Arabidopsis thaliana: one gene and its partner. The protein of the gene in region 1 interacts with the protein of each later gene in a pairwise test. Each region holds a gene or a part of one and is shown in the gene's direction. Other genes may lie near its edges.

Region 1 (3,473 bases):
CATCTCCTCATCGTCCTTAACCGTAGTCTGAACCAAACCGGCCAATTCAATCATCTGCTTATTGTTTTTCTTTTCTGTTTCAGCCTTCAACATCTCAACCAAACACCAAAAATCATCCGCTAGACGTCTGCAACGCCAAAATAATCCACTCAAGCTCTCCTTGCATTCTACAAGTCTCACCAAAAGCAGACTAAAATCGTTCAGACCGAGATCACCAATAGGTTTAACACCCGGTTTAATCAATCGTTCAAACAACACCTGAAGCCGTACCATAACCAATCTCACAATCTTGAAATAGTCTTCAATCACTAGCTCTCTAATCTCGTCCACGATCTTGTTTTGGAACATAGGCGGAATCTCAGGTCTGGTACATATATGCTCAAAAAAACTCACAAGAGAATCCGTTTGTCTTATAATATACCCGGTTTGGTAAGACGAAACACGATCTTTCTCTTCAACTTTATCTTTTGGATTCACCAACAAATTTGGAAAAGATCCTAATACCTTCGGAACCCACGAGAGACGATCCAAGTATTGTCCATACCTAAGTTACATTTTTTTTTTAAAAATGTCGGTATGAACATGTCCAAATTATTAGATAAATATCACAATCAAAAAAGAGAACTAAAAAATCTTTTTAAAAGAAGAAGTAAATTACCATCTAATCCACTGAGACAATTCTAGCGTGAGATTAGAAGATTTGTCTGAAAACTCGTTCAACTTTAGATTGTTTCGACCATGACCTAGTCCTTCAAACTTGTCTCTTGATGATTTGATAAGCTTGTGGATGACGATGAGAGACTTGGTGGCCACAATAGCGTTCTTCGTGACACGTAACCTCCACAGAGCCGCTGAGAAAGCCGCCGGAGCGTAACGGCTGTTGGAGTAAGAGATAACAGCGGAGACATAGTCACTGTTTGGTGGTTTGTTAGGAGTACGAGTTGTTGACTTCAAGAGGGCTAAGTGAATGTATTTGACGGCGGTGGACCCGAAACTATGAACCAATCTTGCTTTGCCTATCGAAGCTTTGTCTTTGAATTTTCCGATTATGTGAGTTTTGAGTCCTGGCATTATCTCGATGGAACTAGATGAAAAAAAAATTGAAGCTGTTTTGCTTTGTGAGGTTGGAATTTGATTTTTATAAGCGTCCAATGTTTGATTCGCTTTCCATTTTCTTATAGTTTCCTTTTAAATCTTTTTTATATACGTGAGTTTCCTTTTGCAATCATTCAAAATTAACATTATTTTTTTGGTCGACATCCAAATTTGATTAATTTTACTTTTCTCAACTATTAATTTGGTAATATATCTTTTCATTCTAAAGTCGTCGTTCATTCATTTTATAAAACTTATATTAAACATGACGAGTTCATATTCAACCTCATAAGACCAATAAAATGTTGTTATTTGTTAAATAAAATGTTGATAGGAATGTTATAGAATAAGTCTGGCAACTACTTTGTTATTTCTATTACATATATAGTTTATTTGTATTGACTATTGACTTTACACCAATGTTTTTTTTATTTGTATTGTAAATGAATAAGTTTACCAATGTTATATTTAACGAATAGGTTTACCAGTATTGTCATTTATCTAGTATCTAATTAAAGATTAGAAAAGTCAATACAAATTAACTATATAAGTAATAGTAATAACAACCACACTGCAGCCACCAGCAAATTCCATTAACAAAATAAAGATCTCGAAAATTTGAACACCAATTTACGATTTTTTAACGTCAACATGAATGATATATTCATAAAAATGTGTTGAGAACAAATTTGGTCAAGTCAAGCTTTAGATCCGTAAGAATAATTGATTCATGGCTTCTTCCGCATAAACACATAAATCAAATTGTATATGTGAATTTCGGCATTGACAATTTTGGTAACATATGACGTGGATGCTGAGAAAGTAATTCTTATTGGTTATTAACACAGGACGCGGATCGTAAAGATACAAACATTTCTAACCGTTGATAAGCCAAACAGATCTAACGGACAAAACACAATCACTTCCTCTCTACCTTTGAGTATAAAAAAGCCTCACAACATCACTCACTTTCCCATCGATCGCATTCTCACCGAATCAAATCCAAAAGAGCAAATTTACAATCTTGCGAACTCCTAAAATGGCTCGTACCAAGCAAACAGCTCGTAAATCCACCGGAGGAAAGGCACCAAGGAAGCAACTCGCGACCAAAGCTGCGAGGAAATCAGCTCCAGCCACCGGAGGAGTGAAGAAGCCACACAGATTCCGTCCAGGAACGGTGGCGTTGAGAGAAATCAGGAAGTATCAGAAGAGTACTGAGCTTTTGATCCGTAAGCTTCCGTTCCAGAGATTGGTTCGTGAGATTGCTCAAGATTTCAAGACGGATCTGAGGTTCCAGAGCAGTGCCGTCGCAGCTCTTCAGGAAGCAGCTGAGGCTTATCTTGTTGGGCTCTTTGAAGATACTAATCTCTGTGCGATTCATGCTAAGAGGGTTACGATTATGCCTAAGGATATCCAGCTTGCGAGGAGAATCAGAGGAGAGAGGGCTTAAGTGAACGAAGATGATGAAGATTAAGAAGACTAGTCGTTTAGTTATGGATTAGCTTGTTTGGTTTCAATGGATATGTAAAGCTGTCTCTTTTCGTTTTCGAGTGTTATTAGTTTTTTACTTAGATGTGTCTTCCAGATGTTCGATGAAATGCCTAAAGGAAATTTTAATCTACTGTTGTCTAATCTTTTGATTCGTTCTGTCGATCTCCATATTTCTGCCACGCTTAAGAATCGTTTATCAACGGAAGAGTTAATTTTTTGCTCGATGAAATTGTCCAAATTGATTTGCAATAGTAGCTGCTTAGGGATTCTCAGTCTTCTTCTCCATGAACAAAACATTCTACAAATTCTTATTTAGAACTAAATCATTCACTAAACGTAAGAAAAGTATCGGTTCTTTACAAAATCAAAGTGAGAATTCGCAGATTGTTCTATTCCTGGTTATACCATCACAGTAAGAAATCCTCCAAATTATTTTACTTAATGCGTAGATTTGCTGAATAAGAGTAATGTAATTTCTCGAAATTTGTAACTTCAGGCTAAATTTGTTATGTAAATTTTGAAATAATTTCATCCTTATTTTCTACGATTGAATTTTTTTGAGACCCTTCATAGCCAAAATTTTCGATTTGGCGCCTAAAATTAAAAGATTTGGAAGTAGCGCAAAAGCCTACGTGGACTGAAAAGGATGATTTAAATTGGTTGATAGTAAATGACACGGATGGCCGGAATTTTAGTCTATTTTAATTCGTTGATAAGGTCTCACACGGATTTATACCTGATGATCTCAGCCGTTGATTGAAATATTTAATCCAACGGACAAGAATACAACTTTCCCTCCAAAAACAAAACTCCCTCCCATGTTTTTTTCACCTCACCGCCAAATTTCTCTCCCCATAAAAGCAGTCCCTCTTCTGCGTTGATCTTCA
Region 2 (5,655 bases), on another chromosome or scaffold:
ATTTATTAAATATCTTTATTCGGTGAAAAAAATATACAGTATATTTCTTAGAAACTTTATAATAAGAATAAGGATTTTGTTTTTATATTTTCCTAAATTCCATAAATCTCTTAAGTTTACAAATTCATATATCTTTTAACATTTAAACAAATAACCAGACTTCTAGTAATATATATAAATTTATTTAGGGAGTGTTATTGGTTTGTGATGTATTCGAAGTTTCAGTGACTTAAAATGTTATGAAGAATTTGTTGTTATTCAATAAAGATTTTTCAATTTTTTGTTAAAGTTTGGTGTTATTAGTTTAAGATTTGTAAAAAGTAATATAAAATCTTCATAAATGTAGAGTTATTGGATTCATATTTTTATAAAGTTATTAAATTTTTTGTGTAATTCATTTAAAACAAAGAATCTATGATTATTATAATGAATTAAATTATTGTGTTATTGGTTTATGACTTTCTACCCTTTTTTTTATAAAATAAAGTTGTGAAAAATATCATACCCTTTTTTTTTACAAAATAAAGTTGTGAAAAATATCATAAAAATAAAGAAATTGTTTGAGAAACTTTACAAAATTATTAAAAACTAATCAACAAGTTTATTAATGACCTTAAACCAAAATAGGTACATATAATATTAGATAGATCATGCAAATGCGTTTGGTGGTTATGTTACTTTTGTATCATTTGATTGGCATGATGTTCTACATTTTTTTACCATTTCTCTATTCTTAAGTCGAAATCTTTAGGACCAAATAAGCATTTTTCCCTAAACTAACAAAGCAGCATCTCACTAGATGTTTTCCAATCAGATTTGCTTACTATAGTGTGCTAATATGAAATTTGAGTGACTCATGACAATGCATCAATCCAGATTAAGCATTAACATGTGATCAGCTAGCATTCATGAGAATATGAGAATTGTCTTCGAGCTAAAAGAAAGTAGACTCTTTTTTCACTTGAGAAACTCATGACATACTTTTTTTTTATATACATTTGTTTTTTGATGATTAGGTTAAACTTTTGTAATAAATAAATTTTTAGTTAAATAAATAAACTTCTATCATCAAAAGACTCGTGAGTTTCTTCCTATGTTGCAATGAAATGGAAACGAAAACGCGAATACGAAACGTTTCGGAAACGAGAAACGATTTTTTCTTAAAATTAGGGATTGGAAACGATTTTTTCTTAAAATTAGGGATTGGAAACGTATACACATACATACATATATATATATATATATATATAACATTAACATAAAACTATATTAAAGAAAAAATGGTTTAAACAATACAAGTCCAAAACATCAATATTAAATAAATAAACTAAAATTCTAAAAGATAAAAATTAAAAGGTTCAAGTTCAAATAGTTAATTTAGACCAACATTTTCATTTTCATTAGTTTCATCAAAGATAATATAAAGCTCTTTTCAAATCTGGTTTATCAAAAGAAATATCTTAAAACTCAAAGTCTTCCAAAATTAGTTATATGTATTAATAATTTTAATAATTTTAATTTTAGTTATTAAATTTTCAAAGTTGAAAAAAATTTGTCGTATGTCTATTTGGGAAACATGAGTTTCTATCTTTAAAACGTAAGTTTCCATCGTGTTTCCAAACATAAATTTTTAAAAAACGCGTTTCCGTTACGTTTTTCATGTTTCCGGAGAGTTTCTGTTTTCGTAACGTTTCGGAAATGGGAAATAGACCTCGGGGCGAGTTTCCATGCAACCTAGATTTCTTCTAACCAATAGAAATGCTCTTAAAAGCCTTTTTTTAAAAAAAATCAACAGAAATGCTCTTAAATGTTAAAAACAAATATTCATGCCAAATTTTGATGTAAAAATTTGTTATTTTCGCTTTAGTTGTGTCTTATTTCGGTCTGGTCATTTTCTCAAAGCCCTTTTAGTTATTTATATATATATTCTCTGTCTCGTATTTGTCCCCAAAAATCTAGGGTTTTAAGGTTTCTTATCCTTCCTCTTCCTCCGCCAGATTCTTTTCTTGCGAAGATGAGCAACGACAAGGACAGCATGAACATGTCCGATCTCTCCACCGGTAAGATATTATAATCTTATTGTCCTATAGAATGAGGCCTGGATTCTCTTTTGTTCTCTTGATTTATTGAAAAAAGCTTCTCTTGTTTTGTGTTTTGCTTATAGCTCTTAACGAGGAGGATCGTGCCGGGCTTGTTAATGCTCTTAAGGTGAGTTTTTTCTTCACGATATGATTTGCGTATGACTATCTGGAGATTGGGCTATTCATCTTTGTAACTTTTAGGGATTGTTTTCTCTTCCTGACTAGTTTTGAGAAATTGATTTGATTCTTATGGCTTAGAGAATTTGACTTTGGTTTTGAGGATTGTCTATGCATCTTAATTTGGTTGTTTGAAAGTTTGTGACTTTTCCTGATTTGATTTACGTGTTTGCTGCAGAACAAGTTGCAGAATTTGGCTGGACAACACTCTGATGTCCTTGAAAACTTGACTCCACCAGTCAGGAAGCGTGTCGAGTTTCTAAGAGAGATTCAGGTGAGTAAATTTTCAGCTTTTAGATGATCTTGGATTTTGTATTGGTTTTGAATTAGCTGGCTGTTCAGGTCTAATGAGTTTTTGGTGGAGCAAATTTATCTGATTCCTTTTGTATTTTAACCTTTGCAGAACCAATATGATGAGATGGAAGCAAAATTCTTTGAGGAGAGAGCAGCTCTTGAAGCTAAGTATCAAAAGTTATATCAGCCTTTATATACCAAGGTTTGAATACGGTCTTTGATTCTGCGAGATTCTTATGGTCTTTAGTTTCCTATTATTAGAATATCTTTGAAACACATGATGACACCTCAATTGATAAAGGTTTAATAAGACTTCTCTCTGTTGCTACTTACGTGAATGATTAGTGCTTCATGGTTTTCACTTCTTTCTGCATCATTCGTGATTGTAACTGATATTGATGGTCTTCTGCCTTCTGCATCACAGCGATATGAGATTGTGAATGGTGTGGTCGAAGTTGAAGGTGCAGCTGAAGAAGTAAAATCCGAACAAGGAGAAGATAAATCAGCTGAAGGTGTGTTTATCGATTCTTTTACTGAAACATGTTTATTTTTAGTATCTTATGATGATGATGGTGAACTCATGATTTTTATATGATATGAAACTGTCTTTCTGCAGAGAAAGGAGTACCAGATTTCTGGCTTATTGCATTGAAGAACAATGAAATTACTGCGGAAGAGGTTCGTTATTAGAATATTCTTCTTTTTGGTTTATAAAATGGCGATTCTCTTTATCATTATGTGGTTTTTTCCACGGTTTTAGATAACTGAGCGAGATGAAGGGGCTCTCAAGTATCTCAAAGATATCAAGTGGAGTAGGGTTGAAGAACCAAAAGGGTTCAAGCTTGAGTTTTTCTTTGATCAGAATCCTTACTTCAAGAACACTGTCTTGACCAAGACATATCACATGATTGATGAAGATGAGCCTATCCTTGAGAAGGCCCTCGGGTAATGTTTTGCTCTATCAAGTATTTACTGTTTATGTTCTGAAGACAATAAGTCTTTATTGACTGTCGTTTACTGCTGTTCAGGACGGAGATTGAGTGGTATCCTGGAAAGTGTTTGACACAGAAGATTCTAAAAAAGAAGCCAAAGAAAGGATCCAAAAACACAAAGCCGATCACTAAGACTGAGGACTGTGAGAGTTTCTTCAACTTTTTCAGTCCACCTCAAGTTCCTGACGATGATGAGGATCTTGATGATGACATGGTATTTCCATCTCCATAAGCAGTTTAGTTTTTAGAGTCAGTAATTAAGATTGTGTTGGATTTTAATCTGATCATCTAATATTCACAGGCTGATGAACTCCAAGGACAAATGGAGCATGATTATGATATCGGGTGTGTACCTTTCTATTTCATATTCAGTTCTCTTCACTTAGTTCAGTTCTAGGATCTGAGTCTGTCCACTGTTTATCCTGTAGTTCAACAATCAAAGAGAAAATCATCTCGCATGCTGTGTCATGGTTCACTGGTGAAGCTGTTGAGGCAGATGACCTTGATATTGAGGACGACGATGATGAGATTGATGAAGATGATGATGAAGAGGACGAGGAAGATGATGAGGATGACGAGGAGGAGGATGATGAGGATGATGACGAGGAGGAAGAAGCAGATCAAGGAAAGAAGAGCAAAAAGAAGGTAAATTATGTGGTTTTGTTCTACTTAAAACCTTCCTACATAGGAAACTAAAACCTCTGAAACTGATTTGGTGGTTTATCTTTTGTTTTGTTGCAGTCATCAGCTGGGCACAAGGTTTAACAATCAATCAATCTCGATCTTTTTTTTTTGTTGATAATGCAATGGCTAACCTGAGGTATCCTTTTTTAATGAACAGAAGGCTGGAAGAAGTCAACTTGCGGAAGGTCAAGCAGGTGAGAGGCCACCGGAATGTAAGCAGCAGTGAAGAAGTGAAGAATCTTGGCTTAGTTATGATGAAGAAGAAGAGTGAAGAGTGTCTTTGAGCCGAGGTTGTGTTTCTTTAATTTGCAGAGTCATGGTCCGGTTTATTATATATCAGTTTTGGGTGATTGGTTTGCTATTTAAAAAAAAAAAATGGGTTCTTTGGTTTGGTTTGTGTCTCTTGATTTTTCCTTTTGTAATGATCTTATGAATTTGTTTCGAGTTAATGTCGTTCTCTGGTCAGATTTCGAATTCAATTCTATTTATCCTCCCTCGTTAATGAGAGAATTTGTGAGACAATCTAGTTTACTTAAGATTGATCGAATTTTATAAACCAACATTACCAAACCGTCAAATAATTAAAACCAATCAATCTTATTTATCGGTTTGCATAACCCATCAATGAGCCGGTTTAGACATCGGTTTGAGTTTCTCTGGGAAAGACAAAAGTCAAAAACATCTCTGCCGACTTGTAAAAGACCGATCAACAGAAACCCAAAAAAAATAGTTGAAACGGAGGGAAACGAAAACCTAAAACCCTAAAAAACTCTTCCTTTTTTTTTTCCAGTGAAATTTCTCTTCTTCTCCGTTTTCATACAAGTCTGACTTCTGGGTAGTTGGAATTTTCCAGTTTTTGGTTTGTTTCTGTATCTGTGGTTTAAAAAAGTGGAGAAGAAGCTTTTTAGTGCTTTTCTATGGCGAGGATTCTCCGAAACGTTTATTCACTGAGAAGCTCTCTGTTTTCGTCAGAGGTATGTTTATCGTGTTTCTCATTTGGGTATTACGAGAAATTAAAAAAACTCTGTTACTGTCGTTTTCATTGCTTATTTGGGTATTCATTCATGAGAAAGAATCCGAAATGTTGTCTCTTAATTTGAATTCATTCTTTTTTTCTGGGTAATGTTTATTGACAAGGGTTTCATGGGGTTTTGCAGTTACTTAGAAGAAGTGTGGTTGGAACATCGTTTCAGCTCCGAGGCTTTGCTGCCAAAGGTTGTCTTAAGCTTTTACCTTTTGTTTCTATGAATCGATTTTACTCAAATTGGTTTTTGATTTTGATGAATATATGTATTTCCACAGATTACTAGAGCTAAATCCGTTTGCGTTTCTGATTGCTTAGCTCACTGTGGTTGTTAAAGTTGAGGTTTTTGCCATTAACTCTGCAATTGTTTTTGTTTTGAAGCTAAAAAGAAATCCAAGTCAGA

What was found.
Region 2: the proteins of AT5G10400 (region 1) and NAP1;2 interact in a protein complementation assay, tested with the Arabidopsis thaliana proteins (one study listed by BioGRID).

The regions. Positions count from the first base shown.
Region 1 is NC_003076.8:3,269,550-3,273,022, reverse strand, and holds AT5G10400 (Histone superfamily protein), read left to right. Parts: upstream 1-2,065; 5' UTR 2,066-2,134; coding exon 2,135-2,545; 3' UTR 2,546-2,851; downstream 2,852-3,473. Other genes in the region: AT5G10410 (ENTH/ANTH/VHS superfamily protein), read right to left, coding at 1-544, 659-1,071. UniProt on the Arabidopsis thaliana protein: Core component of nucleosome. Nucleosomes wrap and compact DNA into chromatin, limiting DNA accessibility to the cellular machineries which require DNA as a template.
Region 2 is NC_003071.7:8,436,587-8,442,241, forward strand, and holds NAP1;2 (nucleosome assembly protein 1;2), read left to right. Parts: upstream 1-1,869; 5' UTR 1,870-2,014; coding exon 2,015-2,060; intron 2,061-2,164; coding exon 2,165-2,208; intron 2,209-2,436; coding exon 2,437-2,532; intron 2,533-2,661; coding exon 2,662-2,754; intron 2,755-2,976; coding exon 2,977-3,064; intron 3,065-3,168; coding exon 3,169-3,230; intron 3,231-3,312; coding exon 3,313-3,497; intron 3,498-3,580; coding exon 3,581-3,758; intron 3,759-3,845; coding exon 3,846-3,889; intron 3,890-3,972; coding exon 3,973-4,189; intron 4,190-4,285; coding exon 4,286-4,303; intron 4,304-4,385; coding exon 4,386-4,454; 3' UTR 4,455-4,915; downstream 4,916-5,655. Other genes in the region: RECA2 (recA DNA recombination family protein), read left to right, coding at 5,146-5,202, 5,386-5,443, 5,634-5,655. UniProt on the Arabidopsis thaliana protein: May modulate chromatin structure by regulation of nucleosome assembly/disassembly. May function in nucleotide excision repair (NER). Involved in somatic homologous recombination.